Macaca mulatta: one gene and its partner. The protein of the gene in region 1 purifies or fractionates together with the protein of each later gene. This does not show direct contact. Links are inferred from orthologs where the notes say so. Each region holds a gene or a part of one and is shown in the gene's direction. Other genes may lie near its edges.

The links.
Region 2: the proteins of MBD1 (region 1) and CBX5 purify together in Homo sapiens (affinity purification with western blotting; 3 studies listed by BioGRID and IntAct, with this or other methods). This does not show direct contact. The link is inferred for Macaca mulatta from reciprocal best matches to the Homo sapiens genes MBD1 and CBX5.

The regions. Positions count from the first base shown.
Region 1 is NC_133423.1:42,026,219-42,041,778, forward strand, and holds the end of MBD1 (methyl-CpG-binding domain protein 1), read left to right. Parts: intron 1-2,523; coding exon 2,524-2,638; intron 2,639-2,729; coding exon 2,730-2,896; intron 2,897-2,983; coding exon 2,984-3,066; intron 3,067-3,312; coding exon 3,313-3,353; intron 3,354-3,714; coding exon 3,715-3,861; intron 3,862-3,964; coding exon 3,965-4,093; intron 4,094-4,447; coding exon 4,448-4,564; intron 4,565-4,647; coding exon 4,648-4,716; intron 4,717-5,361; coding exon 5,362-5,529; intron 5,530-5,851; coding exon 5,852-6,151; intron 6,152-6,244; coding exon 6,245-6,382; intron 6,383-6,759; coding exon 6,760-6,891; intron 6,892-6,976; coding exon 6,977-7,038; intron 7,039-8,180; coding exon of another isoform or gene 8,181-8,220; exon of another isoform or gene 8,221-9,897; coding exon 9,898-10,087; 3' UTR 10,088-10,852; downstream 10,853-15,560. Other genes in the region: CFAP53 (cilia- and flagella-associated protein 53), read left to right, coding at 12,982-13,338. UniProt on the Homo sapiens protein: Transcriptional repressor that binds CpG islands in promoters where the DNA is methylated at position 5 of cytosine within CpG dinucleotides. Binding is abolished by the presence of 7-mG that is produced by DNA damage by methylmethanesulfonate (MMS).
Region 2 is NC_133416.1:61,460,644-61,476,965, reverse strand, and holds the start of CBX5 (chromobox protein homolog 5), read left to right. Parts: upstream 1-6,506; 5' UTR 6,507-6,632; intron 6,633-16,322. UniProt on the Homo sapiens protein: Component of heterochromatin that recognizes and binds histone H3 tails methylated at 'Lys-9' (H3K9me), leading to epigenetic repression. In contrast, it is excluded from chromatin when 'Tyr-41' of histone H3 is phosphorylated (H3Y41ph).

The DNA.
Region 1 (15,560 bases):
GGCCATGTCGTGCCTTACGGAGAAAATACAAGGCAGATAAACCTTGTTGGTTATCTGAGTTACAATGCTGTTGGCTGTAAGTTCAATGTTATGCATCAGAATTATGGTACAACCAGAAAAAGAAGGAAATTTGCCAATATGTGCACAAGGCTGCTTCAGAAAATACAGAAAGCATTTATAGTCTTGAAGCTATGGAAGAGATGAGAAAGCAGCTACGTTGGTGGATTCATGAAATGACGATCAATAAAGCATAGTGGACAGCATTGTTGAGGAAAGCCAAAGTCACGTTACCCTGGGTTAGGAAAATATTAAGGTTGTATCAGCTAGTGCTGGCTGACTTGCACATTTCAAAAGGCAACATGGCATGAAAAATGTTAAACTTGCATGCAATGCAGGTTCTCCCGATCAGGAGTCTTCCGAAGAATTTTAAAAATACCTTTTAAGTGTTTTATAGGAAAGGGGTTGTGTAGAAGAGTGGTTTTCAATGCCAATGGGATTGGCTTGTTAAACAAAAATATTAGCAAACAAACCTACAGAACACATATGGCCTCCAAAGCCCCTGGTTTGAGTCATTCAAAGACCATGCAAATAATCATTTGTAAAAAATATATATTAAGTAATGTGTATTTAAACAGAAACACGCACAAAACAGAAGTTCAGATGCTCTCAGGAACCTAACCCTGTATTTCCTCTAGGAGCAATGGTTTTGTATTCAGTGTTCATGGCAACTTTGTAGAACATACCTACCATAACTAATGAGAATCAGCATAGATGTTTATAAGCATTTACATGTGTTTAGGCTACATTAATTATTATGTTTCTATATTCGTTCTGATTTTTTAAATCTAAGTTGCAGTTTTCCAGGTAAATATCAAATTACAAATTACTTTTTGTTTGTATTTAGTTATAATTTATTCACATATTTATGTACTCGTATAAAACTTTCAAAACTTAAAAGTGCAGTTGTCAGGAACTACGAAGGATCTGAGATTTCATTCTTAGGACAAGATAATAGTGAATTTGTCAGAATTTTGTAGATGTTGGTAGGAGAGGTAAGACTCCTGGGTTACAGGTCAAAGACAGTTTATTATAACAGTTGCAGGATCCAGAATAAGTCTCCCCCTTATCTGCAATTTCATTTTCCACAGCTTTAGTTACCTACAGTCAACCACCATCCAAAAATATTAAATGGAAAATTTTAGAAATAAACAATTCATTAGTTTTGAATTGTGTGCCGTTTTGAGTGGCGTGATGAAATCTCACACCATCCTGCTCAGTCCTGCTCAGGAGGTGAATCATCTCTTTGTCCATATCCATATCCATATCCATATCCATGTTCTATACACAACCTGCCTGTTAGTCGCTTAGTAACCATCTCAGTTATCAGGTAGAAAAAAACACAGTACATATTACATTAGGGTTTGGTACTATCCACGGTTTCAGGCATCCACTGGGGAACTTGGGATGTATACCCTGACGAGAGGGGGAATTACTGTATTACTATTTTTGTGCCAGTTTCCTGAATCCCAATTCCTACAGCATGACATGAAGAGGGTTGTATTATTATAGGAAAAGAACCCTGAGCTTAGAGAATCAAGTTTTTTTAATAACGTTAGGACACTAAGTATGCTTTCCTTTTACTATGGAAGGAGACCCTATCTCTTATCTTCCAAGGTTGTTTGCTTTACAAACATCCTTGGAAAGATAGTTTATCAAAAAGAATAATCGGTGTCTCTCTTGCAGGGCGTACAGAAATGCAAGAAACCAGGGGTCCCAAAATCAATTACTTATACTTTAATTTGTGTGTAGTTGTATTTGTTTGTGTGTTTTTAAAACATATTTGTGTTGTTTTCTTTGCTTGATTATATACTGGGTACATAATGCTAACTTATTTATTTATTTATTTATATTTTGAGATAGAGTCTCGCTCTGTCGCCCAGGCTGGAGTACAGTGGTGCAATCTCGGCTTACTGCAAACTCCGCCTCCCGGGTTCAAGCCATTCTCCTGCCTCAGCCTCCCGAGTAGCTGGGACTACAGGCACTCGCCGCCATGCGTGGCTAATTTTTTTTTGTATTTTTAGTAGAGATGGGGTTTCACCATGTTAGCCAGGATGGTCTTGATCTCCTGACCTCGTGATCCGCCCGCCTTGGCCTCCCAAGGTGCTGGGATTACAAGTGTGAGCCATCGCACCTGGCCAGTGCTAACATATTTATATGTTATTTAATATATTTGTGTTTCTATTTGTGTCTATTTTTACTTATGTGAAATAGTTCCAGTATTACTAGTATTATATGTTATAAATATATTTGTCTGTTTACATTTGTATTGTTTCTGATGTTTGTATTTGTGTTGGTATTTATATTAATTTTTTATGTTTTCAAGGTTAGTTGAGGTGGGGCTGGGCAGGGCTCACAGGCCAATTCCAGGCTGCCTCCTGTATCCTGCCAGCCCTGTCGGAAGGTTGTGTGGGTGAAATGACATTGGCTCCACTTGGGTGCTAACCCATCATGGCCCATCCCTAGCCCCACAGGAGACAGGATCCGAAGCAAAGTTGAGCTGACTCGATACCTGGGCCCTGCGTGTGATCTCACCCTCTTCGACTTCAAACAAGGCATCTTGTGCTATCCAGCCCCCAAGGTACTTTACAATGTGAGATGCCTAGGTAGGGGTGGCTGTGCCACTCAGCACCCACCCACTGACCCATATGCCTCCTTTCCTTACTTTCCAGGCCCATCCTGTGGCTGTTGCCAGCAAGAAGCGAAAGAAGCCTTCAAAGCCAGCCAAGACTCGGAAACGTCAGGTTGGACCCCAGAGTGGTGAGGTCAGGAAGGAGGCCCCAAGGGACGAGACCAAGGCTGACACTGACACAGCCCCAGCTTCATTCCCTGCTCCTGGGTGAGTGTTGGTTTGAGGTGAGCCAGATGGGTGAGGGTTGTGATTGGGGGTGCTCTTGGAGCCCCTCACCTGCCTTTCCCATCCCAGATGCTGTGAGAACTGTGGAATCAGCTTCTCAGGGGATGGCACCCAAAGGCAGCGGCTCAAAACATTGTGCAAAGACTGTCGAGGTGAGTGACCCCCAGAGGATGGGGCATCGGGAGATAGGAGCTAGAGCAGGTTCAGTGTCATGCTAGGCTGGGGGTTGAATGTAGATGTCAGGACAGAGGCTACTGGCATGGTTGGAGGTTGGATACTGGAGATAGCAGGCATGGGTAGAGGTTGAATAGTGGAAGTCAGGGCACAGGCAGTGAGTGAATCAGTCAGATGTCTGTTGCTTTCTTTCCACTTTTCTTCTTCCCTCTTCCTCCCCACAGCACAGAGAATTGCCTTCAACCGAGAACAGAGAATGTTTAAGGTAAGCACAACCTGCTTTCTCTTCACACCTCTGCAGTGGGAGCAGGATGTGATTGAGCTGGTAGAGTCCTAAGGGATGATGATAGGTCCACAGGATGAAGTCATTTTATAGGGTGCTCTCCATAGGTCAGCAAACACAGTAATGGGAATCAATGGGTTAATTAATTCCCGTTACCATTAGTGCATCAGTAGACACAGTGATGAAGTTAGCAAGGGACCAGTAGACATACTAATGGCCTCAGTGATGAGGCTTACGGGCGACTAGAAGTCCCGGTGATGGGAGCTGATGTAGGGTCAGTAGACATGGGAGGACCAGTGCTTCTGGAGCAGGCCCGTGATCTCGTCCCTACCATTCCTGGCAGCGTGTGGGCTGTGGGGAGTGTGCAGCCTGCCAGGTAACAGAAGACTGTGGGGCCTGCTCCACGTGCCTCCTGCAGCTGCCCCATGATGTGGCATCGGGGCTGTTCTGCAAGTGTGAACGGAGACGCTGCCTCCGGATTGTGGAAAGGGTGAGTCGGGCAAGTGGAAAGAGCCCAAGGCTCACCTCGGCCCCTGGCCCTCGTGGGCTTGGCCCCATGCTTCATGCCTCTGCTCCCACATCCCCTCCAACAGAGCCGAGGGTGTGGAGTATGCCGGGGCTGTCAGACCCAAGAGGACTGTGGCCGTTGTCCCATCTGCCTTCGCCCTCCCCGCCCTGGTCTCAGGCGCCAGTGGAAATGTGTCCAGCGACGTTGCCTACGGGTGAGTCGGGCTGGAGGGAGCAGAGCTCACTCTGCTGTTAAAATCGTCGCTGCCTCTGCTTCCTTTCAACCTGGCCTTGCCTACCTTATGTCTTTCTTTTCTGCCTAACCCCACGCTCACCTTTCTGGCCCCGCCTGCCTGCCCCTGTCTGCCAGCACCTTGCTCACCGCCTGCGTCGCCGTCATCAGAGATGTCAGCGACGCACTCCCCTGGCTGTGGCTCCCCCAACTGTGAGTGCCTCATGCCACCCTCTGTCTGCCTGTCCCATGCATGCTTTCTGCACTTAGGGAGTGGGGAGTTCCTGTGTCTGCCTGGTGCCACCAAGCTGAAACCACCCTTTCTGGTCTTTCCCAGGGTAAACATGCCCGCCGCAAGGGAGGCTGTGACTCCAAGATGGCTGCCAGGAGGCGCCCCGGAGCCCAGCCACTGCCTCCACCTTCCCCATCACAGTCCCCAGAGCCCACAGAGCCGGTGAGGCCCCAGTGGGTGGAGGGAAGGCACAACCCTGACCTTACCCAGTACCTGCCCTGACCCCACCCCATTTGCCTCTACAGCACCCCAGAGCCCTGGCCCCCTCGCCACCTGCCGAATTCATCTATTACTGTGTAGACGAGGACGAGCTAGTGAGTGGCCCTACCCTACCTGGATAAGCCTAGACTCTCAGGACGCTTGGTTAACTTCAAAGAAGCAGATGCTGGAATGAGCCTATTGGGGAACAGCAAGGCACAATAATGGGTCCTAGGATGGGATGAGTAGATAATGGAGGACTAATACAGGGTCAGCAGGTGCAATGACAGTGCCTCATGTCACATGTATCAACACTCTGGTGGCTGATGCAGGACTAATCGACACAGTGATGGGATTGACAGAGGAGCAGCTAGCACAATGACTGGGGTTCACACAGGATGAGCAGACAGAGTAGGCACAGTGATGGGAGCTAATAGAGAGTTATCAAAATGTTGCTGGAAATGGGGGTTAGAGACATTTTCTTGGTAGCCATTGGTGGCCTAGGAAATACAGCACTGGATATTGTAGTGGAGCAGCCACAGTCCTAATGGTATCGAGGGCCAGCTGGCACAGCGATAGTGGCCAATGTTGAACTAGCAAATGCTGAGGAGTGACTAGCTGGGAGTCAGGAGGCTGAGACTAGTATGCAAGTAGCTCCTTCTTATGGGGCTAGAGGAGCACCAGGACCAGCACTGGAATAGGCGTTGAGGATGGCCTCTCCTAGTCCTAGTTGACAGCACCACCCATTCCCCCCACCCCAGCAGCCCTACACGAACCGCCGGCAGAACCGCAAGTGCGGGGCCTGTGCAGCCTGCCTACGGCGGATGGACTGTGGCCGCTGCGACTTCTGCTGCGACAAGCCCAAATTCGGGGGCAGCAACCAGAAGCGCCAGAAGTGTCGTTGGCGCCAATGCCTGCAGTTTGCCATGGTGGGTGGGGCAGGAAGGGTCAGGTGGCCGGGATAGGTTGGGCCAGGCGCCCCAGTGCCTGGGAGTGGTGGGCAGGCTTGGTAGGTGGGTGGGTGGCGCAGTAGCTTTGGTTGAGGATTAACAGACATTGTGCTTGGCTTAATGAGTCTAGGTGGCATTGGTGTTGCTAATAGGAGACTAGCAGGCTCAATGACGAAGGGCTCATACGTAAGCAGATTCCATGCTGGGACCGATGGGAGATTAGCAGGCATGTGGAGCCGGGCAGGGTGGATGTGACTGGTCAGGACACCAGGTAGCCATAGCACCCTATCTTTCCTCATAGAAGCGGCTGCTGCCCAGTGTCTGGTCAGAGTCTGAGGATGGGGCAGGATCGCCCCCACCTTACCATCGTCGAAAGAGGCCCAGCTCTGCCCGACGTCACCATCTTGGGCCTACCTTGAAGCCCACCTTGGCTACACGCACAGCCCAACCAGACCATACCCAGGCTCCAACGAAGCAGGAAGCAGGTGGTGGCTTTGTGCTGCCTCCGCCTGGCACTGACCTTGTGTTTTTACGGGAGGGCGCAAGCAGTCCTGTGCAGGTGCCAGGCCCTGTTGCAGCTTCCACAGAAGCCCTGTTGCAGGTGAGGGCCCCACCCTGTCCTTCCCTTCCCAGCCCCACCCAGCCTCATGCCAGGGAGCTGAGACCAAGTCTGCTGCAATCCTCCCTCACGCAGGAGGCCCAGTGCTCTGGCCTGAGTTGGGTTGTGGCCTTACCCCAGGTGAAGCAAGAGAAGGCGGATACCCAGGACGAGTGGACACCAGGCACAGCTGTCCTGACTTCTCCCGTATTGGTGCCTGGCTGCCCTAGCAAGGTGGGGGCAGTGATGGATGTTCTGTTGATGCCGTAGCAGGCTGGTCTGTAAGCAGAGTGATGATGAGCCATGATGGTTCTCTTAAGCAGAGCAATAGATGTGCTGATTGCAACCTTTCTGCAGAATTACCCCGCCTGTCTAACAGACACCCTACCTCCTGCAGGCAATTAGCTTTGCCCGCTTTGCTGTCCAGCTAACAGAAAAACGGAGGTCAGTGAGGAATGGGAATGGGAAAGGTTTATAGGCAGAGATGGCCTTTCTGTGTTGAAATGTGATGGAAGGTAGGATTTGTCAGCACAGTGAGGGGTTGGCTGATAGAGACTTTCCTCGGGCTAACTCTGCCCTTCTAATGGCTGCCTGTTTCCTACTTCTCCCAGGCAGTAGACCCAGGCCTGCCATCTGTGAAGCAAGAGCCACCTGACCCTGAGGAGGACAAGGAGGAGAACAAGGATGACTCTGCCTCCAAATTGGCCCCAGAAGAAGAGGCAGGAGGGGCTGGCACACCCGTGGTCAGTGCTGGGGATGCCCCACCCTGCCCTGACCCTGCCATAGCCCCAACAACCACATTGACCTATGGTGTTAATTCTTCTCTAGATCACGGAGATTTTCAGCCTGGGTGGAACCCGCTTCCGAGATACAGCGGTCTGGTTGCCAAGGTGTGCCCCACACAGTGAGGGGTGGGGAAGGAGGGGGTGTTGGCCAGATGTGGGCCCTGAGTTTTGAAAGTATAGCCAGCAGTTTGGCATGGTGTGGTGGGAGGTAAAGGCCCATACCCACTATGCTGATCACAATTAATGAGGGGCATGTGTGTAGGACCATAGAGATTTCTCCGGAGATCCAGCCCAATAGCATTCCAGGTTAGGACTCTCCTTTGGGGGTAGGGGGAAGACTTGACACTCTATCATGAAATTTGAAAGAAAAAGATAGGGAGTCTGGTCCCTATTTTCCTAAGAAATATCTATAAGGGTCAGCTTTAATATATAAATTCTTGTTCAGAGAATAATCATTTGGAGTCTTGAAGGCCTTTGGAGTCTCCAGGAGACCTCTGGGTGGGCTGTTGCCTGACATTGAGCAATGTATATCAGAGAAATGGTGCTGGGCTTGCCTGGGCAGTGGGATGGGCAGGAGATCTGGGTTCCGAGCTGGCTTTGTGAGCCGGGTTCACACGTAGTTGCGTGATCTCTGGTTGCCCTGTACTTCCTGGAGCTGCCTCTGTGGAGGGGCTTGGGCTGGATCTCTTGAGCCTTTCCTGAGCCTATTGAGGTTATTAACTTCAGATGCCATGCAGAACTGTCCCTATAGTCCTGGCATAGGACGAAGGGTAGATGCCTGTAAGGACTAGAATGGTTGGGAGGGCAGGGGAACGCTGACTCCTATAGAATGTTGACAGACCCTGCATAGAGCCCCAGACACTGGCAATGTAAACTATTGGCCAAGCACGTGGATTCCTTTGCTCCTACAAACTAGCCCACCAGGCTGGAAACCCTTTCATCTATGCTTGGCCAATTACAGAAGTCCTGATTGAGTTCCTGCTGGGTGCACAGCATTGAGGACAATGAGCCCTGCAAAGCTTATATCCTGTGTCAGGAGACACAAGATACCTACCTTCAGGGAGCTTATTATCTGACTATGGACAAGCTGTCTGTAATGGTAGTTTTTAGAAGATATAAAAAAAGATAAAGGTATAATTAAGGGGAAGTGGATGGAGGACACAGAATACTAGGAAATGGTTTTGTAATGCTCCATTTCGCATATAGCAAACCTCATTCAACATACAGACCTGCTCCCTCTTCCCTAGGTCCAAAGACCTTAAAAAACCTGGAGCTAGAAAGCAGTAGACTGGAGGCTTCTACAGACTGTAGGATTCAAGGTGATATTTGCAGACTGGCTTTATGAGAGACAACACTGATCTACTAGGGGCTGGACCCTAGATTGGTTGCCAGGGCTTGTGTGTGAATCAACCCTAGGAGGAAAAACCTACCACGAAACCAGAGGAGCAGGCCTAACAGTACTTTGAGCTTCTAGAAGAAGTAAGCGGGAAAGGAAGAGAAAGAGTAGAAAGTTGGTGCATCTTCTCCTCCCCAAGAGCCTGAGTATAAGAAGTTGGATTTTAAGGGTGGGGGAGCTGGGATGGGGAAAGGTAATATAATTAAAACCACCACAAAACAACCTAAACAAGCCATGTTCATGAATAATTGTAAGTGGCTTCTGGATGAGACCTGGCAGTGTCTCTACATACTTCCTCAGGGAGACAGCAATTGAAAATGTAATTGAATAAATAAGGAAAGGAACTGCTATTTGGTGTGTTCCTCTGTGGACCCAGTTTATTTAATCCTTAGAATAATCTTTTTGGGAAGACATTGATTTTGCCCATTTTTGTGAATGGGAAAACAGACTCATTAATTTGTCCAATGTCGAACAGCTGGTGTTAGTAGAGCCTAGAATGAAACCCAGCTTTTAAAGCCCTTGTTCTTTAAGCCACTAAACTGTAACCTGTAATCCTGTATGCACTAATAGGAGTTTTTGGTGACCTTCAAAACACAGATTACTATAAGTACTATAATAAATCCCTTACATTCCTGTCTCTAGCATGGTTTAGAAAGTGCCAAGACTCGATGTAGATGGGGTCACCTTGTCAGAACATCTGTTCATACAGAAACTGGGTTTCCTGCAGACCCCAGGTGCTGCATAGGATTCCTCAAACCCTACAGGATATATCTCCCCACTGGCTGCTGTCCATTTTGCTTGTTACCCTGACTCCCCCTCTTCAGCTAGAGCAGTCTTTGTAACTAAAGCTGCCAGCCTGGCTCATCTTTCCTGACAACGTGCATCTCCTGCCCTCTGATGACCTTTGTGCTTGGCTCCTGCCCTCAGCCCAAATGTCTTCTAGGAGGCTGAATTCCTGCTTCGAGTCCTGCCCAAGGGCCAGTCTTGGCTCAGCCCTACCTCACTCTTTCCAATTCTTCATTCATAAAGTGCCAAAAAGATTAGACCTGTAATTTGTTAGCCAGCTTTACAGGGCCAGGACTGAGTGAGTGCCTCCTTAAACTTTGTATCCTACGTGCCTCCCTTGCCTTACCCTAGTCCCAGCCCTGCAGCTTTAAGTAATTCAGACATGGATGAGCCATTTCCCAGTTCTATCATACAGTCCAGCCTCTGCCACCTTCGCCACCCCTTCCTTTATTCCACCCTAACTAGTTCAGCCCTAGTCAAGACTGGATAGACTGATACTGCTTTGTTTCCCCCAGGAACCAACCACCCAACCCCAGTATTCTGGTAATTTTGACAATGAACTATATGAAATTTATTTGATTGACATTTAGACTCATGAGTTAAGCTTCTGCCTACCATGTATGTTAGGGTACAATCAGAAGAGCAGAACCACTAAGATAAAGATTATGTATATATGTACTTTAAGGGATTTATTATAGAGATCTGACTGCATGCCATTGTGGGAGCTGGTTAAACAGTCTCTGTAAGGCTGTTATCTTTGCATCTAATGCTGGAGCTTGAAGTCTGCAGGGCAGGCACTCGGGAAGGGAAGATGGATGTAAAGTGTGGGAGACCGAGGACACAGTGGAGCCCACGAGCACGAGCTGGAACCCACGAGGATGGCCTGGAACCCATGTCAGTCTCTCACCACCTCCAGCTTCGATGATGTGGGTGTCCTGCAGAAGAAGCTGGTGCCCTTCCTCACAGAGTTAAATATGCATCTGGCCCAGGAATTAGAGAAGCTGAAGAGATGATCCTGGGGAAGGTGGAGCAGCTGCAGGCCTGGCTGCTGCCCACACCAACGAGGTGATCCAGCAGATACATGACAATGTGTGAACTGCAACAGCGCCTGGTGCCCCAGCACCAGCCTTCCAAGTGTAAAAACAATATGCTGCTGCTTCACTTCTGCCCTCCAGTTATCAAGCAAAATGTCTCTTGTGGCCCATCTTACTGGAAGAGAGTTCTGGGAAACAGCCTCACCAAGGTGACACATTACAAAGCCGCCCTACCATGAATCCGCTCCCAAGGGTCTCACTACTCACCTGAGGATAACTCAATATAACCATGTTGCTGAAAATGCAAAGCTGAAGACCATGAATTTCATGGTGATTCCAGCAAGTGCAGAGATTCTATGAAGCCCACCCAGAAAAAACTTGCTGGTCCTGGCTATTTTTGTGTCATTCAAGTATTGAGAACCAGGCCTGTGGTAGGCACTATACTTAATACTAGGATACAGAAATGCAAAAGATACGGCTCATGCAATTTTATTAAATGCATCAATATGTATTACAAATGGTGAATGGATTTCCAACTTTATCATGGAATTTAATGCTGAATATATAGAATTCAGAAAATTATTGGGAGGACAGCCCTTTTGTGAACCTTGTTTGGGGCACAGTAGGAATTGGAAATAATTTAGTTTCTATCTCTAAGCTGTTCTATTTTAAAATTATTTTTAAATTTTTATTGTCCCACTTACATGCTCAGTGTTTCTTTTGGGAGTGGTTTGGTGGGAACAGTGTTGACTGCCTCTGAGAAACTGGGATAGTGGGTGGGAAGATCAAGGTCACTTCTTTCCAAGGACCCTGAGATTCACTTCCCTAGGCCGCCGGGGCGGGGGGGGGGGTTCACTGAAGGCTGAGGCTCTCGGTGCTCAGCACTGGCCGGACACCGTCAACCTGCTGGTGGGCCCGCCAGGGGGCGCCGAGGCGAGAAAGCCCGTAGTTCCCGGTCGGGGAACCACTGGGACCCTGGAGGCACCGCCCGTCACCCATCACCAGTGGCCTGGCCGCCCTGGGGCGTGGCATCCGTCCGGCGCAAACCCCAGTACCTGGGCTAGGGCCAGAGGGAAGCTGAGTGCCCCTCTTCAAATAGCGGTAAAACAGGCAAAACCGACCCAGGGTTAAATTTCGGAGCACGTCCAGGGTGAGGGCGGGGCTCGACGACCTAGGACGTTCGAGTGCAGCCGGGTGTCGCCAAGGGTCGGTTTACCCCATCGCCTCAGAAATTGTGACCAGGCCCTTTGGGCTGCACAACCTTGGGAATCCCCAGCGGGCGGCCCCGAATCGCCGCCGATTTTCCCAAGCCCTGCTCCGGGCCCAACGCGTTTTCGTTGCCGCCTTCCCGGAGGTGTGGTGGGGGAGGTTCCTCCCAGACCAATGGGCGGTCCCGGGGCCCGTTGAACTCGAAGATCAAAGAACCGCCCCTCTGGACACTCCAGGAAACCGAGACGACCACCTAATTTGTTTCTTTTTCTGTTCCAGGCCACGTAAACTCTTAGTAAATGCAAATGAGTGTTTTACTGAACTGCAATTGAACACAAAATGACAGAATTATTAAAAGATGATTAAAAGAGAAGAAAGACATTTCATGGCTGAAAAACTGAACCAGCAATTCAGGAAATGGAATTCATATTTAGAAACGTACCATATACAAAAGCCGAAGTGGGTGGTTTGCATATGATTAAGGAATGCTAATTTGCAGTAAATTGTGTCCTTAAGGAGGGTATACACATTAGTTGTACTTATTATACGTCAGTTTGACGTAGGTACTGATTTGTTGCATGTGCTCAAGTGTTCTATGCTCACCCCCACTTTTGGAGTACCAGAGTGTCATTCTTAATTGGCTTTTAGGTATCACCACCTTACTCTTGACTGGAAATGCAACTGTGGTTACTACCTGTGCTGCAGGTCCGTCCTGGTTCCCTGATTTGTGTTTCCTGTTCTGCCTGGATCCTGATTCTCAGAAACCAGTTACTGGACTTCTGATCCACATCCTGATCCTTCCACTGTGACCCTCAGACTCTTAATTATGCCCCACCAGGTCGTGCCACTGCCCCACTAGTCCATCTGATCTGTCCCCATCCTAGGATATCCTGAGTCTAAGCCCTGGTTTCTGCCGATGGCAAACAGGAAGATTTTATTATTAACAGCCTTTATTATTATTATTATTATTATTATTACTGGTTATTTGGTTTGACAAGGCACTTAGGCTCCCTGAGCTTTGCCTTAGCTGGAAAATAAGGATAGTAATGCTTCCTGTTCTATCAACCGTATAAGATATTTGTGGCCATGCGCGGTAGCGCAGCCTGTAATTCCACTTTGGGAGGCCAACGGGAGGGGCAGGGGGTAGGATCGCTTGAACCCAGGAGCAGGAGTTCCAGCCTGAGCAACATAGCGGGACCCCCTATCTCTTCAAAATTTGTTTTTAAATTAGCAGGGCGTGGTGGCGCAGGCTTTGTAGTCCCAGCTACTCTGGAGGCCGAGGCCCAGGAGGACGAGGTTGCAGGGAGCCCTGATCACGCCACTGCACTCCAGCCTGGGTGACAGAGCGAGACCTTGGCTCAAAAAAAGTCTGTGAGGTTCAAAGGTTGTGTGTGTGAAAATATCTTGGAAATTGTAAAGAACTACACAAATACAAGGTTTTCCTGTGATTATCACCGTTATCAAGATTAACCTAGAGATAGTGCAAAATTTAAGCTTCCCAAAAAATGTTCGCTAACCTTTCTCGTACCTTTAGACCATTACAGGATATAAATAGCAAAGTCAACTGGAATTGTAATTAGAGCTTCGATTTTTCTTGGGCTAGAGGATTTTTCTGCCATTCTGATGAACCCTAGAGGAAGGGAGCAAAGTCGGTGCGGTTTGGCCGAGGGGCGGGGTGAGGACCGCGCAGGCTCAGCTTCTCGGCTGGAAGAGGAAGTCGCGAGTGCAGGCGTCTGCGGCCCCCATGGTGACCAGACGGACTTCCGTCGTACCCGCCCACCTCTACCTGCCCCTAACCCCGCGAGGCGCACCATGGCAACGATACTTCTGCGTCGCGGAAGCGGTCCCGCAGGTCGCCACGGTTGGGGGAAACGCGGCGGACGCCGCCCCCATCCCGAAGGGGACTCGAAAATGTACAGCCAGCGGTTTGGCATCGTCCAGCGGGAGGTTAAGGGCCCTACCCCCAAAGTGGTGATCATGGTAAGCACAGGATGTGTCTGCCGGACCCTTCAGCTTTCTCCATCTCTGCACTCTCCAGGCCTGGCCGATCCCATTTCGGCCCCCCACCCGGGGCCTTCTCAAGGGGAACGGGTGCCGCCTAATGTAGTGGGTTGAATTTTGAAAGAAGGAAGATAAGGTCACTCACCTATTTACCCCACCTTTCACCCACTCATCCCCCTCTATTTTCATCCTTACAGCCTTTCATCTGCCCCCAAAGTTATAGTATTTAGGTTCTGTTTTTGGAGAATCACCACTAGGGATCTTAGGGTTTTTCAGTCTCCAAGACACCGGAAGGATGTCTGTACCCCATGCAGTGGCGAGTGTGTGTTATGGAAAGAGCACCCAGCCCAGAGACAGATCTGGGGGCAGGGCTGGCCTATGATTTGGAGCTGGTCTTTCACTCCTAGGAAAATCGTCTGGGGAAGGGGAATTAGGTTGTGAGTGGTTATAGCACCCAACGCCTTTCCTGTGCGAACTCAACCAGTAACCATTGCTGGACTGAAGTGTCCCTTCAGACCTGGGAAAAACACAGGTGCCTGCCTCTAAGGCTGGAATGGTGGTAGTAGGGCAGGGAAATATGCTTACTGCAGAATTTGATAGTTCCTGCTGAGAACCTCAGACACTATTGGTCCATACATGTAGATTCCTTCATTTCTACAAACTAGTTTCTACCCGCCAGAAAACTGCCATGTAGGCAGAATTATTGCTTGAGCCCCTGCTGTGTATGCAGTATTGTGGGAGATACAGGGGTGAATACAATGATCCTGGAAGGTTAATCCTTTACTGAAGCCTGAGCCCTCCCTTCAAGGAGCTTATACAGGTTAAGTATCCCTTATCTGAAATGCTTGGAACCAGAGATGTCTAGAATTTCAGATTTCTTTTGGATTTTGGAAAACTTGCATATACATAATGTAATATCTTGGGGAGGAGACCCAAGTCTAAACACTGAATTTATCTATATTTCATTACCTCGAAGGTAATTTTATTTTCCCCTTGGGGATGCTGAATAAATATGTGTCGTTTTGACTGTGACCCCTTACATGAGGTCAGGTGTGAAATTTTCCACTTATGCCATCATGTGGGTGCTCAAAAAGCTTCAGATTTTGGAGCATTTCAGATTTCTTATTTTCAAATTAGGGGTGCTCAACTTGTAATCCAATTGCAAAAAAAATTATGTATAATGAAACCACTAAAGGTTAACACGGTAAATAATGATGTGCTATATTGTCTGTGGTGTCACTTTATGGAAGAAAGATCAGTGATACAGTTGTATTATGCTCCACAGTGCACAGAGCAAACTTCAGTCAACCTATAGACCTGCTCCTTCTTTAGGTCTGAGTACTGCAAGATCTGGAGCTGGAAAGCAGTAGATGGGACACGTTAGTAGGCTGTAGGGTTCAAGGTGATAATTATAAACACACTTCATGAAGGACAGAAGATCTACTTTGGGTTCTGTATCCAAACACAGGGCTCAGGGGCTGAGCCATTGTTGGGTGCTATTACTTGTGTTGGGAACCAATAAGGAACGAAAAACAAACAAAATCACTAAACCAGAGAAGCAGGCCTGTTGAATACTTTGCACTTAAGAAGAATTAAGAGGAAAAGGAAGAGGTTAGAGTTGGTGCATCTGCTCCTCCAGTGTCTGAGTGTGATAAGAAAGATAGATGTTAGAGGTAGCAGAACTGTGTTGCAAGAATTAAATCCACCAACAGATGAGAATTGGGCCCTAAACAATTCCCCAGGAGAAACATATGAAAAATGTAATGTCTGAAGTAATGGGACATCAAAAGGAGCAGCTATTTGATGAGTGCCTCCTAGGAATCCATTAGGAGGATACTTGTTTTGCTCATTTGACAGGTGAGAAAACTAAGATTCAAAGAGATTAAGTAACTTGCTCAATTCAGTTAGTAATGGACAGAGGCCAGAATCAAACCTAGGATGTAAAGCATTGTTCTTTAAGACAACCAAACTGTAAATTATAATCCTAATAACTATAATTTGAGATGCTACAGTAACAAAAAGCCTTCAGTGACCTTGAAAACCCAAAGTAGTTAGTAAAATATCCTGTGTTTTCCTGACTTTAGCATGGTTTAGAGCTGTGATGTCCAATAGGTAGCCACTAGTCACATATAGCATTTGAGCACTTGAAGTGTGCCTAGAGTCACATATTGACAAGATAATATTTTGGATATATTGGTTAA
Region 2 (16,322 bases), on another chromosome or scaffold:
AAGACCAAGTCCCATCTCAAGCTAAACCCCCCATACCTCCCATTGATAGCCCACCCATCCCCCCACCATATGGGGAAGAGTCTATTACTTTGAGCCATTATTTTAAGGAAATGGGTCAAAGGAAGATAAATAAAAGGGCAAAAATTTATATTCACAGTACAAATAATGTGCTCACTTCCTTCAACTGGGAGCCACCAATAGGGTGTCAATTTAAAACAATTCATCTCCAGAAAAACCAAGTTCAGCTTAACTGGACTAGTTTTGGCTCAATATATTAAGAAAAATGTTTAACAGAAAACTGGACTTTAAGCCACTATATGGATGTAAGTAAAATCTGTTCTTACCTACCCGCATAGCAATAAAACCTTTCCTCCTGGTTCTGACTGCTAGTCCTAAGAGTCAGGTGTGCCTTACTCTTGTCTGCCTCCTTCCTTGCGATGATCACTGAAATTTCACTCCCTCCTAGCTTTCATGGAGCGTGCCGTGGCCTGCCCCTGGCTTATCTGTACTCCACATACCACAAGTGTCTACTCTCAGCTGTAGAGTGTCTGAGCTCGGAGCCATTCGCGCTATACTTGCTAGCAGTTCCTAGTAGCTGAACATCTCTCCTGGATCTTTAAAGGCATTGTCACGAATCCTGAGGTATCTGCAAACTCCCTCAATAGTTAAGGTTCCACCTGCTATTGCAAACTCAGCCAGTATCATGGACTATCACCCATGCTTTCCCACCCACCACCATGTCCCACCCACCTCCCACCACCCTCCTCCCCAAACTTCCAACACACCCATGGGATGGAATATACAGTACTATTGATAAACAAATCTCTATGCTACTAGGTACAATAGCACTGAAATTGAGAGCACCAAAGGTAAGGCTCAAAAGAATCTATGTACAAACAACACATTATTGGATATTAACTGTTAAAGGTTTAGAAATCATTTTCTATACAATTAACATTTTAGGTAGGTTGTGTGACCTTGTGCCATAAAGGGAAACTGCAGTTAACATGAAATTACATAGAAAAATTTAGTTTCTATTGGTATGGTTTTCATCTCCAAATTAGTATAGTTAACTGATAAAACCTCTGAAGGCCCACCCAACCAGAACCCAGTCAAACTGCAGTTTTCCTTTAATGTAAGCCTATCTTTATGTTCATTAAATACTTTCTGATATTGCTTATTTTTAAAAGGCCTCCCAAACACTTCAAATCTGTGGATTTATGGAGCGGCATTAGCCAGCAGCTAGTTTCTATTCCCTGGCAGAGCTTTGAACTTGAATTGTGATAGAAGCATTCAACATCATCAAGGGGAGTGGGTAGGGAAAGTCCAAATCTCTGCCAGTCCCAAATCCATACAGTTGTCATTTCATTCAAGAGAATTAAATCGTTTATTGATTACACATGATAATGGATGATACACAAGCTTCATTCCCATCTATAATTTTATCTGGTACCATTATTCAATTTAGATATATTGCATAGGATGTGCCAACAATCACTTTTATAACCAATAATTCCATGATTTTGCTTGGGTAATCCCTTTTAACGGTGAACTTCAGGTCACAACAGTAACTATCAGTTCAACTACACCAAGGTTTCCGAAGACAATGGCTTCTCCACCCAAGCAGGTTGTATATAAATTCCAAATAGAACCTGGCATCACCCTGAAGGAATTCTAACTTCACACTGTTGGGGAAGTTTACCAAGATGGCTTCAGAGTAGACTAACTTTACACAGCACATTAAAAAAAAGACATTTATTCAGCGTCACGATCAGACTATTACATTTAGCAATCAACAGCATGGGTGCAAAAAAAAAAAAAATCTACATTAAAACCCTTTGTTGGAATGCTTTACACTTTCCACAGAACAGAAACTAAAATAACCTGTTATACAATTAGTCACAAATACAGTCCTCGAGTTTTTTGCCCATACACATGAGTATTTGTCTAAAACATGTCTTCTTTGTAGCAGCTAGGCCCTGCCACCACTGTGCTTGGCTGAGTTCACAAATCTGTTGTAACCTGTAGCTTCCCTGTCACTTCTCTGGCTCTCCTCTCCTGCTAAGCTTTGTTTCCTGTTGAACAATATGGAATAAAGTTGTTAATCTAAACATATTAAGACTCAAGGCTACAATCCAATATCAAGTTTGCTTCCCACAAATTTTGCTGATCTGAATATTAACTTTATATCCACAATTACTGCAATTATAATGTTAACTATGTTGCACTGCTCAGCTACATTAGGGTTATTGGGTTCATCAGCAATTTAAAAAATTATGTCCACACACAAAAAGGTGCTTACTTACCTAATTAAAATCTTCTGCCACTGCCATAGCTACTGCTGCTGCTGGAACCGCCATAGCCACCTGAAGAGTACAATTTTTCTTTTAAAGTTTCAAAGTGCCAACAGTAACACAATGTTTTCATAGTTGAGATAATAAAAGTTAAATTCAAGTGTCTGGCCATTTAAAAATGGCCCCTACTCCAAAGGAAGTGGTAAAGCAGTCCCATGACTTTTTAAATTTGTGATCAAATTATCACTTTCTGAAGGTTCTAAACTGTAAACGTTTTGCTGCCTAGACATAGCAGTTAAAGGGCTTTCTTCCCAGCAGTAGCTACAGATACAACTCTTTTGACATGATCCCAAATTACACAGATACCATACCTTGGTTTCGTGGTTTTGCAAAGTATTGACCTCCACCGCCATAGGGGCCAGAGCTTCTGCCTCCAAAATTTCCTCCCTTCATGGGTCCAAAATTTGAAGACTGATTGTTGTAATTGCCAAAATCATTGTAGCTTCCACCACCTCCAAAATTGCTTCCTATGAATGGGAAAGAGGGCCTTCGTCTGTTACCTGAGGATGATGCTAGTTTCCAATTCTGTTTAGTGGTCAGAATAAAATAAGGTTGAGTTATCTGCCTTCCTTTCTCCCAAACTATGGTGACTCCAATCTTTGCATTTCATTCTCTGGGAAAGGCATTCAGTTGAATAATCCAGTAATAAAAAGAAAACTGGCCTAACTCACCATGACATAAAATAAAGAGATTTTCATAGTGGCTCAAGCATATTCTCCAGCCTTGAAGGCCTTCATGGATCCAGGGCCACAGCAAGCAGAAGTATCTTGGATACATCAACTAAGCGCCTAAGGTCCCAAAGGAGTTAAGATACTAAATCCTTCTATGATACTAATCTAACTCAAAGACAATACTATCCACTTATCTCTACTAATTGGGAGTGAGGCGGCCCCAGCTTAAAGCTAGGAGGAGGTAGCATAGCAAGCCCATTTGTTTTTAATATACCATGCAATGTACCATACAATGCTTTAACAGCACCAGAACCCAAGCTCTAAAAGGCTAATCTAGCTGTCACACCAAGTACTTGGATCACTGGATACCTACCACTACCACCGCCAAAGCCGCCTCCGCCTCCGTTGTTATAGCTGTCATAGCTGCCACTCCCGCCATAGCCACTGCCCTGGTTTCCATAACCCTGTCCACCACTTCCATAGCCTCTGCTTCCTCCAGAGTAACCAGGGCCGCCTCCTCCATAACCACCTACAAGAATACAATTCTTCTCAATAAGACAAAAGTATTTGACAATGAAAACGTGTGCAAGTGTAATGGCTGAAGGCCTGCTCACAGCATGCGTGTTATGGGCAAGGTTGAGTTTGTCATGCACCAGAATTTTAGTCTCTTATCAACCTATTCTAAAGATCCAGGTTGCCAGGATTTTTTCTCTACTTAGTCCTAAAAAACTTACCATCATTACCAAATCCATTATAGCCATCCCCACTGCCACCATATCCACCACCACCACGGCTGCCACCAAAGCCACCTGGAAGAAAAAGTTTCAAGTTTTAAGTATGACTTGCACTGAAAATGACATTCTAAATGCACTTCCCACACTGTAAAATCTACATAGCAAAGACGGTGTGACGTCAGAACTACACGTACATAAACCATACATACCACGACCACTGAAGTTTCCTCCACGACCGAAGTTGTCATTCCCACCGAAACCACCTCCACGACCACCACCAAAGTTTCCAGAACCACTTCGACCTTAAGAAATGAAGTTTACTTCATTCATACTGAAGTAACTCAAAGTTACCTTTAAGGTTTAATTAAGCAACAAGCATACCTCTTTGGCTGGATGAAGCACTAGCCATCTCTTGCTTTGACAGGGCTTTCCTAACTTCACAGTTGTGGCCATTCACAGTATGGTATTTCTGAACTAAAAAAAATATAAATACATGGTCTCAGGGTTTAGAATGCCACATGGATTGTGGAACCCTTACTAAATGACACTATCGGATACTTACTGACAATCTTATCCACGGAGTCATGGTCGTCAAAGGTTACAAAGGCAAAGCCCCTTTTCTTGCCACTGCCTCGGTCAGTCATGATTTCAATCACTTCAATTTTCCCATACTGTTCAAAATAATCTCTTAGGTGATGTTCTTCGGTGTCTTCTTTAATGCCACCAACAAATATCTTTTTCACAGTTAAGTGGGCACCTGGTCTTTGAGAATCCTAATAGGAGGAAAACCACAGGTTTAGATTAGCAAACCCTATATTCAAATCAAAAATTGTTCTGGTAAGTTTAGAAAACTCCTGAATCTTAAGTCCATAGCAGCACATCTCTAAATGAGTTGAAGGGGGAAAAAAAAACAAAAAAAAACCCAACACAAAACAACTCACTTCTCTTGAGACAGCTCTCTTTGGTTCCACAACTCTTCCGTCCACCTTGTGTGGCCTTGCATTCATAGCTGCATCCACCTCCTCCACAGTGGCATATGTGACAAACCCAAAGCCCCTGGAACGCTTGGTGTTTGGATCTCTCATTACCTGAGAACAGTGTTAATTTATGTAACAAAGTCTGACCGCAGAAGCTTTTGTCATTTTAACTTTGAATAGGGCAATAGGAAACTTTATACCAGCCTTTTATGAAAAGCGGTCCAGTTTCCCACTACCCTAGATTTAACAAGTAGCTTTTAAAATCAAAGCAGAATATTCCTTTGTCGACAAAGCTCTAACCATAATGCTACTAACAACTTTCATAAGCATTCAGAGAGGACTGCACCAAGATATGCCAAGGAAATCTCGGCTATTTTACTGCTTTGTCCCAATTCTTACCACACAGTCCGTGAGCGTTCCCCATTGCTCAAAATGGCTCCTCAGGCTCTCATCGGTTGTTTCAAAGCTCAACCCTCCAATGAAGAGCTTCCTCAGCTGTTCGGGCTCTTTAGGAGACTGGAGTGGGGGAAGGGGGAAGTGTTAAATGGACTACAACACGAAACAATTTCCATCAAGGAAAAGAAAAACTAGACACCAACTGTGTACCTAGCACTTATTGTTTGTTCAGGTCGCAACAGGCCACGTGCTTCTCCCCACCAAGGGAGGCAGTATGCTGGGGGTTGGGAGTGCTGGGAAATCGCAAGCGCATGCGTCTCTAGTCGTCTTCCGACGCACGCGCAACAAAGGCTTGGGCGGGAGGGGTGCATCTCCATAATGGGACTAACCGCTCTTCAGAAATCTCGCTCACCAAGGCAAGGTTTAAAAAAAGACAAAGATCCTGTGTGCCTAAGAATTTTGCTACGAGTAGCGAGTCCCGCGTGATAACTCGTGGTTGGCGGAGAGCGGCCTCATGGCGATCAAGAGGACAAAATGGCGACTTGAACTTTGGGAGGGGTAGGCCTTGGCAGCGACCGAAGTTAACTGTAGAATCGGCTGGTGCAAGGAACGAAACCAAGCCGCATCTTACCGATTCAGAAAAGGGAGACGAAAAACATTCAAGTTGGAAAGCTCGCCTAACTCACCTCTGACTTAGACATGACGGCAGGGAGAAGAGAGACTTTAACGATGCTTCTTCGGCGGCGTCCACGGGCAGAAAGGAGCAAGCTGACGAACGTATCTGCCAGCCTACCTTCGGCCTCTCTTTTTTACCCCGCCTCCTCGCTTTCGGCATTGGTAGACTCCGCCCTAGAACAGCTCTGATTGGACATTTGAAATCGCTTCCCCTTGCTATTGGCCTGTGGTGCCACATTGCTGTGTAACGTCATTCCTTTGGGCGTTCTACGCGTCTCCACCCCTTGGAGTCAATTGGTTCTCGAGTAATATTACTGTTAACCAGTCTGATTGGCCAACCGACCAATCATTCATGTTTGAATCTACCTGGGGTGTTTAACGCCTTTTTCATCTTCCACGCGTAAATATTACAGTCAAGTCGCTTGGCAAAGCATGATTAACACTATGTATTAGACAAGCAGCCAGGAGGTCACAGTTTTTTTGCAAAGAACGCTTGTTGACCGCACGTGTAGCAAAATGGCGAATTTTGCGCAGGCGCATTAAGAAGTTCCACCTGCCTCTGGGAACACGTGAAATGGCGGGCAGGACTAGGCAGTGAACCTACGGCGCCTGCGTGTTGGCGGGAGTTGGTTCTAGCTTTGCGCATGCGCAGTGGGCGGAGAAAAAAGGTCCGGTCCCAGGATTGGTTGCGCAGGCGCAGGGAAGGATCCGTTTTGGCGGGCGGTTGGCGTTGCGCAGAAGGCGGCGGCGGTGGTGGCTAGTGGTGCGGCCTCACCAAACAGGAACAGGGCAGACGTTAGCGTGAGTGATCACTCTCAATCCCGGGTAAGTGGCAGACAGTCTTATCTACCCATAGTAGGTCTTGAACTGACTCCATTTGGGCCCGTTATTGTGTGAAATGAATGGACCGCGGGGTGGGGGATAGTCAAGGGGCAGCGGTGGATCGGGTCAACCAATAGAAGAACAGGGGGCGGGATGTTTTAATCCCTGTAGGTTCTTGGGAGCTGTGCAGCCGAAGACTTTGACTGGCTTGTGTATAGGCCAATTGGGTGTGCCTTGAGCTGCCGACTGATCGGCCCTTGGGCCATCGGAATGTGGGAGATGGGTTTTCCCCTTCTGAGCAGCGTCTCACTGAGCCAGTGAGCAGGAAGCGCGCGGTAGGTTGGGCTTCTCCAGGAGGCAGCGGTTTGACTCCAATGGGGAATGCGGGATCGGGCGGTTAAACGGATGGAACGAATCTGGAGCCAGTAGACGGACAGCCTAAGGAAAGCACTGGGACCAGTCGTCCAATCGGCTCTCCAAAAGAGAGAGGTCTTCGATTTGGGGTTGTGAGGAAGGGGAGTCGGTGCCTGTAATGGCGTGTGAGGATGAATGTTTTATCCACAATGACTTTTCTAATGTTCTAACGGAGCCTTTAGGCCTCAGTCCCATACACCTCCCTGAAGCCTAAGTTTCCTCGTGTATTCCTCGACTTGACCATGTTTCCCCCGCCTCCTCACCACTTGAGGTTTGGGGAACAGAGGAGGTTTTTGTTTGTTTTTTTATAATACTTTCAGAAGTCGCTTCTTTAGGAAGACTGTTAAAATGTTAGAACGAATAGGAGAAATCTCTATATCCTGATAGTGCATATTTCCACGAACAATATGTTTGTAGGTCCATAGAAAAGTTTTCCAAAGCTACACACCAAAGTGTGTCAGTCCTAGGGACACAGTAGGATCGAGGCAGGCTGGTTCTTTAATGTTTAAAACTTTGCAAGATTAATGATTTGTGATTAAAATTAAATAAAAAATGAAGTCAATTGTTTTGTGTTTCTAATCATAATCACATACTTACCACCCTTTTTCTGATTTATATAATCCATGTGCCCAGTGCTTTTATTTTAGTCTCTTTCTCCCGGGAACTTTCCCTCTCATACATTTCCTTTCTTTACACCATTAAAGATATCCTAAAACCCCTCATTTTGATGTTCATTTGAGGATATCTGACTTTGGATTAAAAAAGAAACGCTTAAAGAGGGTAATATTTAGGGTTCTGGGGACAGAAGACTCATCCATCACCTGGATTATTCCTTGCCTTTTAATTAGATTTCCTTCGAAGTGTGTTTTACATGCAGTCTATCTCCTTTTGGTAATGCCCCCTCTGCTTATTCCAGGATCTTTTGGAGAAATAAATAAATTTTGATAACATTGGCTGTATCAGAGTCTTACTGCTTTGTTCAATAATTCAGGATCAAGGGAAAATACTTAAATACTGAAAATCAACTACCTATGAAGTACACTTATGACTAGAGACCTTTCCGACTTTATACCAAAGACAAACGATTTTAATAGCAGTTTATGAACAGAGGAAAAATTTCCATGTTCTCTGGCACTAGCAAAAGGATAAAGTATTTATATATAGTTTATCCCTGGTTTTAAACCTATTTGTAGGTATGCTAGTAATGGGGTTGCTGAGCTTCTGAGAACTAAAGTGATACTGGTTAAGGGTATCTGTCCTGGATTTATTTAGGTTTGAAAGGAATACAGTCTTAACCTGCAGCAAGATTTCTCAGCATTAGCACTGTTGATATTTTGAGGCAGATAATAATTCTTTGTTAAGGGTATTCGGGGTGTCCTGTGCATAGTAAAATATTTAGCAAAATCCCTGGCTTCTACCCACTGTATGCCAGTAACATCGCACCTCTCGCCACATCCCCATTTGTGACAATCAGATTGTTAACAGACATTGCCAAATGTCCGGAGAGGTAGGGATCGGGGATAAAATCTCCCTCGGTTGAAAATCATTCTCCCAAAATTCTGGAGTATGCAGGGCACAGTTTCGTGTTCCTGTAGTCCCAGCTACTATGGAAGCTGAGGCAGGAGGCTTGAGCTCAGGTGGTCAAGGCTGCAGTGTGAAATGATTATGCCTGTGAATAGCCACTGCACTCGTCTGGGCAGCACAACAAGATCCCATTGCTAAAAAATAAAAATAAAATGCTAGAGTTTATTATTTTTTCAAAATCCATTATTTTACCAATTGGAAAATAGGTAAAAGTGAGAGAAGATGGTTGAAGTGTTTAGGGAGTGGCCTTTGGTAAATGGATCGCTAAATCCTGATGTTTATCTCCTTAGATACAGAATTGATCATTGTTCCATTTGATAAAAGGAAATTTTTATTAAAATTTTTACCACTTGATCTGGTGCCAGTGGCTTACGTCTGTAATCCCAGCACTTTGGGAGGCTGAGGTGGGCGGGTCACTTGAGGCCAGGAGTTTGAGACCAGCCTGGCCAACATGGTGAAACCCGTCTCTACTAAAAACACAAAAATTGGGCCGGGCGCAGTGGCTCATGTCTGTAATCCCAGCCCTTTGGGCGGCCGAGGTGGGTGGATCACTTGAGGTCAGGAGTTCAAGACCAGCCTGGCCAACATCGTGAAACCCGGTCTCTACTGAAAATACAAAAAAATTAAGTGGGCGTGGTGGCAGGTACCTCTAATTCCAGCTACTCGGGAGGCAGAGAGAATTGCTTGAACCCGGGAAGCGGAGGTTGCAGTGAGCAGAAATTGCACCACTGCACTCCAGCCTGGGTGACAGAGCGAGACTCCGTCTCAAAACAAAAAACAAAAACCCCTGCAAAAATTAGCCAGGCATATTGGTGGGCACCTGTAATCCCAGCTACTCAGGAACCTGAGATGGGAGAATCGCTTCAACCTGGAGGCAGAGGTTGTAGTGAGCCAAGATCGTGCCACTGCACCCCAGCCTGGGTGACAGAGTGAGACCTTGTCTCAGGAAAAAAGAAATATTTACCACTTTTTGCAACTTAAACTTACACATATGATTGATTGCATCTTGTCCTTGTTTGGCTTCCTAAAATAACGGCAAATATGTTTTTGAAGAAGGTAGACTTTGCCTCACATCCGTCTTTTTCACTTGATTCTAGCTAGCCTCTTTACTGGGATTCTTTACTGGGATTCTTTTGGATCCACGTTTCAAAACTTTTTTGACTTCAGTAAGAAATGTATTTTACAGTAATCCTGTACACACATTGAAACAGATTTCACTAAACAAACGTGCAGAGCACTCCGATACTCTTTTGTCTGCAGTATACTATTTCATTGTCTTAAGAAAGCAGTCAATTTCCACCGAACTGATTTCGCAGCTGTTTATAGACCCAGAGTTTTGGGGGAGAAAAGACTGCTGATCTGAACAATAGGTCACCAAATCATGCCACCTTTGATTACTTTCGGAGTCAGTTCCTTCCATCTCCAGCCCCAGCCCCTTGTACAGATGGTCCCTTAGTTGTGATATTTCGACTTAAGATTTTTTCACTTTTACAATGGTGTGGAAAACAATTTCCTTTCAGTAGAAACCATACTTCAAGTATCCACATAACCATTCTGTTTTTCACTTTCGCTACAGTAATCAACCAATTACATGAGATATTCAACACTTTATTATAAAATAGGCTTTGTGTTAGGTGATTTTGTCCAACAGTAGGCTAATGTAAGTATTCCGAACACATTTAAGAGTAGGCTAGGCTAAGCTATGATGTTCGGTAGGAACACCTTAGGTGTAGGAAATGAATTTTCAATTTTTCGTATTTTCAACCTGTAAGTCAAGGAGTATCTAAACAGATTAAGCAGTGACCTGTTACTTGGTGTTTTTACTCATGTGTTTTACTTTGAAAGATTATAGGAGCCGCCGGGCGCGGTGGCTCAAGCCTGTAATCCCAGCACTTTGGGAGGCCGAGACGGGCGGATCACGAGGTCAGGAGATCGAGACCATCCTGGCTAACACAGTGAAACCCCGTCTCTACTAAAAATACAAAAACTTAGCTGGGCGAGGTGGCAGGCGCCTGTAGTCCCAGCTACTCGGGAGGCTGAGGCAGGAGAATGGCGTGAACCCGGGAGGCGGAGCTTGCAGTGAGCTGAGATCAGGCCAATGCACTCCAGCCTGGGTGACAGAGCGAGACTCCGTCTCAAAAAAAAAAAAAGAAAGATTATAGGAGCCAAGCCGAGACTTTCTAGTTTACTGTGGTGTGCAAGTGAAAATTGCTTGTTTTATTGTGAAGTCTCACAGTGCTTAAAGAGGGAAAACAATAAAAATATTGCAAAATCTCTCACAATGTGATAGGGTTTTTTGTTTGTTTGTTTGTTTGTTTTGAGACGCTCTTGTTGCCCAGTCTGGGGTGCAATGGCGCGATCTTGCCTCACCTCAACCTCTGCCTCCCGGGTTCAAGCGATTCTTCTGCCCCATCCTCCTGAGTAGCTGGGATTACAGACGTGTGCCACCACGCCCTACTAATTTTTAGTAGAGACAGGATTTCTCCATGTTGGTCAGGCTGGCCTCGAACTCCTGAACTTAGGTGATCCGCTTGCCTTGGCTTCCCAAAGTGCTGAGATTACAAGCGTGAGCCACTGTGCCCAGCCTCTAATGTGATAATTAATAGATATGATGAATTTTTCACTCTGGTGGTGAAATTTTAGTGGGTAATTTTTCATTGAAATTCTGGGAATCTCACAGAGTTAGAAATCCTAACTTCCAGTGTGATATGTGTTGGGCCCTCAATTACAAAAGTTACAGCATTTGTGCTTAGAACTTAGAGACATACCGGCCGGGTGCAGTGGTTCATGCCTGTAATCCCAGCACTTTGGGAGGCCGAGGCAGGCGGATCATGAGTTCAGGATTGAGACTATCCTGGCTAACATGGTGAAACCCTGTCTCTACTAAAAATACAAAAAATTAGCCAGACGTGGTGGCGGGCGCCTATAGTCCCAGCTACTCTGGAGGCTGAGGCAGGAGAATTGCTGAACCTGTGAGGCGGAGGTTGCAGCGAGCCGAGACTCGGCACCACAGCACTCCAGCCTGGATGACAGAGCGAGACTGTCTCAAAAAAAAAAGAACAACTTAGAGATATACCTAACCATTGCAACCAAATCTAAAAGGAGTGTTTACTATAAAGGGGAATATATTTTTTCACTGTTCTGTCTGAAAACTAGTAAGTGGAAAGCTTCAATTTGGGTAGTAGGTAAGCAGGGTGATAGTTGGGGAAAGAAGGAGTGAGCCTACATTTGAAGCGGCTGGATTTGTATATGGCTGGGGAAATTCTGGAGATTCTCAGAGCCTTTTAACAATACTCTAGAAAAGAGAAAGGTTTGGTATCAGGGTACAAAGATTTTTGAGGAAGACCAAGTATTTTTTTGCTTCTGTTGAGGTTTGTTTGTTTTTGAGACAGTCTCACTCTGTTGCCCAGGCTGGAGTGCAGTGGCGTGATCTTGGCTGACTGCAACCTCTGTCTCCCAGGTTCAAGCGATCCTCCTGCCTCAGCCTCCCGAGTAGCTGGGATTACAGGCATGTGCCACCATGCCTGGCTAATTTTTTTGTATTTTTAGTAGAGACAGGTTTTCACCGTGTTAGCCAGGATGGTCTCGATCTACTGACCTCGTGATCCAACTGCCTCGGCCTCCTAAAGTGTTGGGATTACAGGCGCTAGCCGCTGTTCCCAGCTCTATTGAGGTCTTTAACTGCATAGCATGATTTCTGTATCTTATTGATATAGCCCATTTAATTAATAACTGTCGTGGTAAAGCATTTCTAGTCTTTATTTTGTCCTTTTACTTAGATTGTTTTTATTTCCATTCACCTTACATGAAACTGGGCCTAAAGCTATGTTATGGATATTGATTTTAAAAGTAATAAATTACAACATGAGATACCACTTGACTCAGTATGGCTGTTTACATATCTGCTATTCATGAACTTGGACTCTGGGCAATCATCTTTTTCTCCTGACATAAACTTTTATTTTTCTTCCTTGCTTATAGAGAATGATTTTAACTGATCATTGTACTAATAGGAAGGAGTCCAGGTCATCCTGAGAAGAGTTCGCTTGTCCAGAGTCCAAGATGCAGATTTGTTGGATTTCTGTAAGCCACTCGAAGCCACATATTCATTTCTGATGACAGCTTTACACTTGTGCTGGAAGAACACCCACTGTGACAACTGCTGCCTATGTTTAGTCTGTCCAGGAGCTCTACCAGCTAGCATGTTTGCAGAAAAACCTACACTGTTCCTGTTAGCAGCTATGTAAATATTAGATCTTTCTGAGTTTCTCTTCTCAGATCTGCCAATTTCTTTGGGGCAAATTGTATCCTGCAGTTGCCTCAATCTACCCTTTGAAAATGAGGGATTAAAGGTTTTAGACATTCTTTGGGTTATCTGAAACACAATTCTTTTTGGATCAGTAATGTTTTATATATGTCTACTTTATGATTTTTAAAATTTTATTCCCCCTGTGTATTAGTTTCCTGTGGCTGCTGTAACAAATTACCACAGACTTGGTGGTTTAAAACAAAAGGAGTTTATTCTTCTCACAATTTTGGAGCCCAGAAGTCTACAATCAAGATATTGAGGCCCTTTTGGAGGCTGTAGGAGAGACTGTGTTCTTTGCCTCTTTTAGCTTCTGATTATGGTCAGCATTCCTTGGCATGTCTCTCTGTTCTGTTTTCACATTGTCTTCTCTCTTGAGTACTTCCATCAGAACTCTCCCTCTACCTCTGTATTATAAGGATACGTATGATTGCAAATAAGAAACCACTTGGATGAACCAGGATAAATTTCTCCTCTCCTATCTTTTAATTCAACCTGAGAGAGCAGATTTAAAATACATTTTATTCCTAAACTGGCAGGTCCCTGAAAAAAAAATGTAGATTCATGTTTATTTTATTTTGAGACAGAGTCTCGCTTTGTCGCCCAGTCTGGAGTGCATTGGTGTGATCCCGGCTTACTGCAACCTCCGCCTCCCAGGTTCAAGCTATTCTCCTGCCTCAGCCTCCTGAGTAGCTGGGATTACAGGTGCCCAGCCAATTTGTGTATTTTTTTTTTTTTTTTTTTGAGACGGAGTCTCGCTTTGTCACCCAGGCTGGAGTGCAGTGGCCGGATCTCAGCTCACTGCAAGCTCCACCTCCCAGGTTTTTCACCATTCTCCTGCCTCAGCCTCCTGAGCAGCTGGGACTACAGGCGCCCGCCACCTCGCCTGGCTAGTTTTTTGTATTTCTTAGTAGAGACGGGGTTTCACCGTGTTAGCCAGGATGGTCTTGATCTCCTGACCTCGTGATCCGCCCGTCTCGGCCTCCCAAAGTGCTGGGATTACAGGCTTGAGCCACTGCGCCCGGCAATCAATTTGTGTATTTTTAATAGAGATGGGATTTCACCATTGTGGCCAGGTTGGTCTCAAACCCCTGACCTCAGGTGATCTGCCTGCCTCAGCCTCCCAAAGTGCTGGGATTACAGGCATGAGTCACCACGCCTGGCCAGATTCATCTTTTAATCACATCTTTTGCTATATAAAGTAACATTTACAGGTTCAAGGGGTTAAGATATGAATCTCTGTTGGGAGAGGGCCATCATTCAGACTACTACACATTGGTTCCCTAACCTCTACCCAAATAGATTTGACCTAATTCAGAAAAGAAAAGGTTATTTTTAAAGAAAGAGAGGCAAGTGAAAAAAGGCTCAGAAACCTGGGTTCTTGTCCTACCTCTGCCATTATCTAATGGTGTAACCATGGGTGAGCCATCTGCCCTTTTTAGTCCTTAGTTTCTTCATCTTATAGGGAAGGAGTTGGATAAGTGATCATTAACAAACCTTCTAAACCTTAGACTTTATGAAGTGACTCCTAAGTCATCTTGGAGTTTGCTTTTTAAGTCAATAATTTTTTTTTTTTTTGAGACGGAGTCTCGCTTTGTCTCCTAGGCTGGAGTGCAGTGGTGTGATCTCGGCTCACTGCAACCTCCGCCACCCGGGCTCATGCCATTCTCCTGCCTCAGCCTCCCGAGTAGCTGGGACTACAGGCGCCCACCACCGCGCCCAGCTAATTTTTTTTGTATTTTTAGTAGAGACGGGGTTTCACTGTGTTTGCCAGGATGGTCTCGATCTCCTGATCTCGTGATCCGCCCACCTTGGCCTCCCAAAGTGCCAGGATTACAGGCATGAGCCACCGTACCCGGCCTTAAGTCAGTAATTTTAAATGTGAATCAAAACATTACAAATTACAACGTTTTGTGTCAGTGTAGTCCTGTTCTTGCCTAGGACTTGAAGGATGGAAGACTGAGCTGTTGGCTGACTGTTAACTCCTTGGGTTATTAACACAGGATAACCTGTATTTGTTAGCTGTGTGCTTAAGCCTTTCTAAAGAAAAGGTTTTCTACAAGGAATGTAATAGACTAGCTGGGACATTTTCACTATATTTCTAGTGAGGCTATAGATTGTGTAGCCTGGATTTTCTTTCCAGTAGTAGTAGTTCATCAAAATTAAACACTGACAAATTTTTTTCTACCTGAAACTAGGTTATAGAGAGAGTAAAAATTTTCACTTGCAGTCTTATTCTTCATACTCACTGAATGCCTGTTCCATCCTGTTTCATTACTAGGAAGGACACTAGATAAAGCCCTGAGCTTGAGATGGTGTACTTGAAAGGACTGTTTGAAGATCAGGTTTTATAACATACTCGTTATTTATTTCTTCTGTGGAGAGGAGGAACTAAATTGGATTCAAGTATTTTTCTGATAGTAATCTATGTTTCTTAGAATAAAGCAAGTTCATATCTGAGCCAGAGGGCATAATTATGTCAGAATAAAATATAATTATGTCGGAATAAAATGCCCTGTACTAAAGAGGTCAACTAACAGGCTGGGAAATCTTAAGTTTTGTTTTTAAGGCAAATCCTTGAACTCTCCGTGCCTCGTTTCTCATCCCTAAATCTGTGCACCTCACCTCACTGTGAGTTGTGGAGGGTAATATACTGCTAATTTGTTCAGTATTTCACAACAATAAATTATGCCTAAGATCTGATAAAACATAGCAAACCTCATTTATATGAATAGAGATAAGCATAGATAAGACTTACAGATAATAAAGAAAATTTATTAAAATTTTAACTTCCTTGATTATTAAACATTTTTCCTTCTGTTTCCTATATATTTTCCAAAGTATTTTCTTATTATTTTTCCATGATAGACTTATGAAATAGGGCAAATAACAAACACCAGGTTATGTAATAATGAATAAATCCATCAAGTGGATATAACAATTCTAAATGTCCTAAAAGCTAATAATAAAGCTTCAACATACACAAAGGAAAACAGAAATGAAGTAACAAGCCAGGCGTGGTGACTTATGCCTGTAATCCCAGCACTTTGGGAGGCTGAGGTTGGTGGACTTCTTGAGGTCAGGAGTTCCAGACCAGCCTGGCCAACATGGCGAAACCCTGTCTACTAAAAATACAAAAATTATCTGGGCATAGTGGCATGCGCTTGTAATTAATCCCAACTACTCGGGAGGTTGAGGCAGGAGAATCGCTTGAACCTGGGAGGCGGAGATTGCAGTGACCTGAGGTTGCACCACTGCATTCCAGCCTGGGTGACAGAGCAAGACTCCGTCTCAAAAAAAAAAAAAAAAAAAAAGGAAATAACAGACATCTGCAATTATATTTGGAAATTTCAGTGCCTCTCAGTAACTGATAAAACAGGTAGACGAAA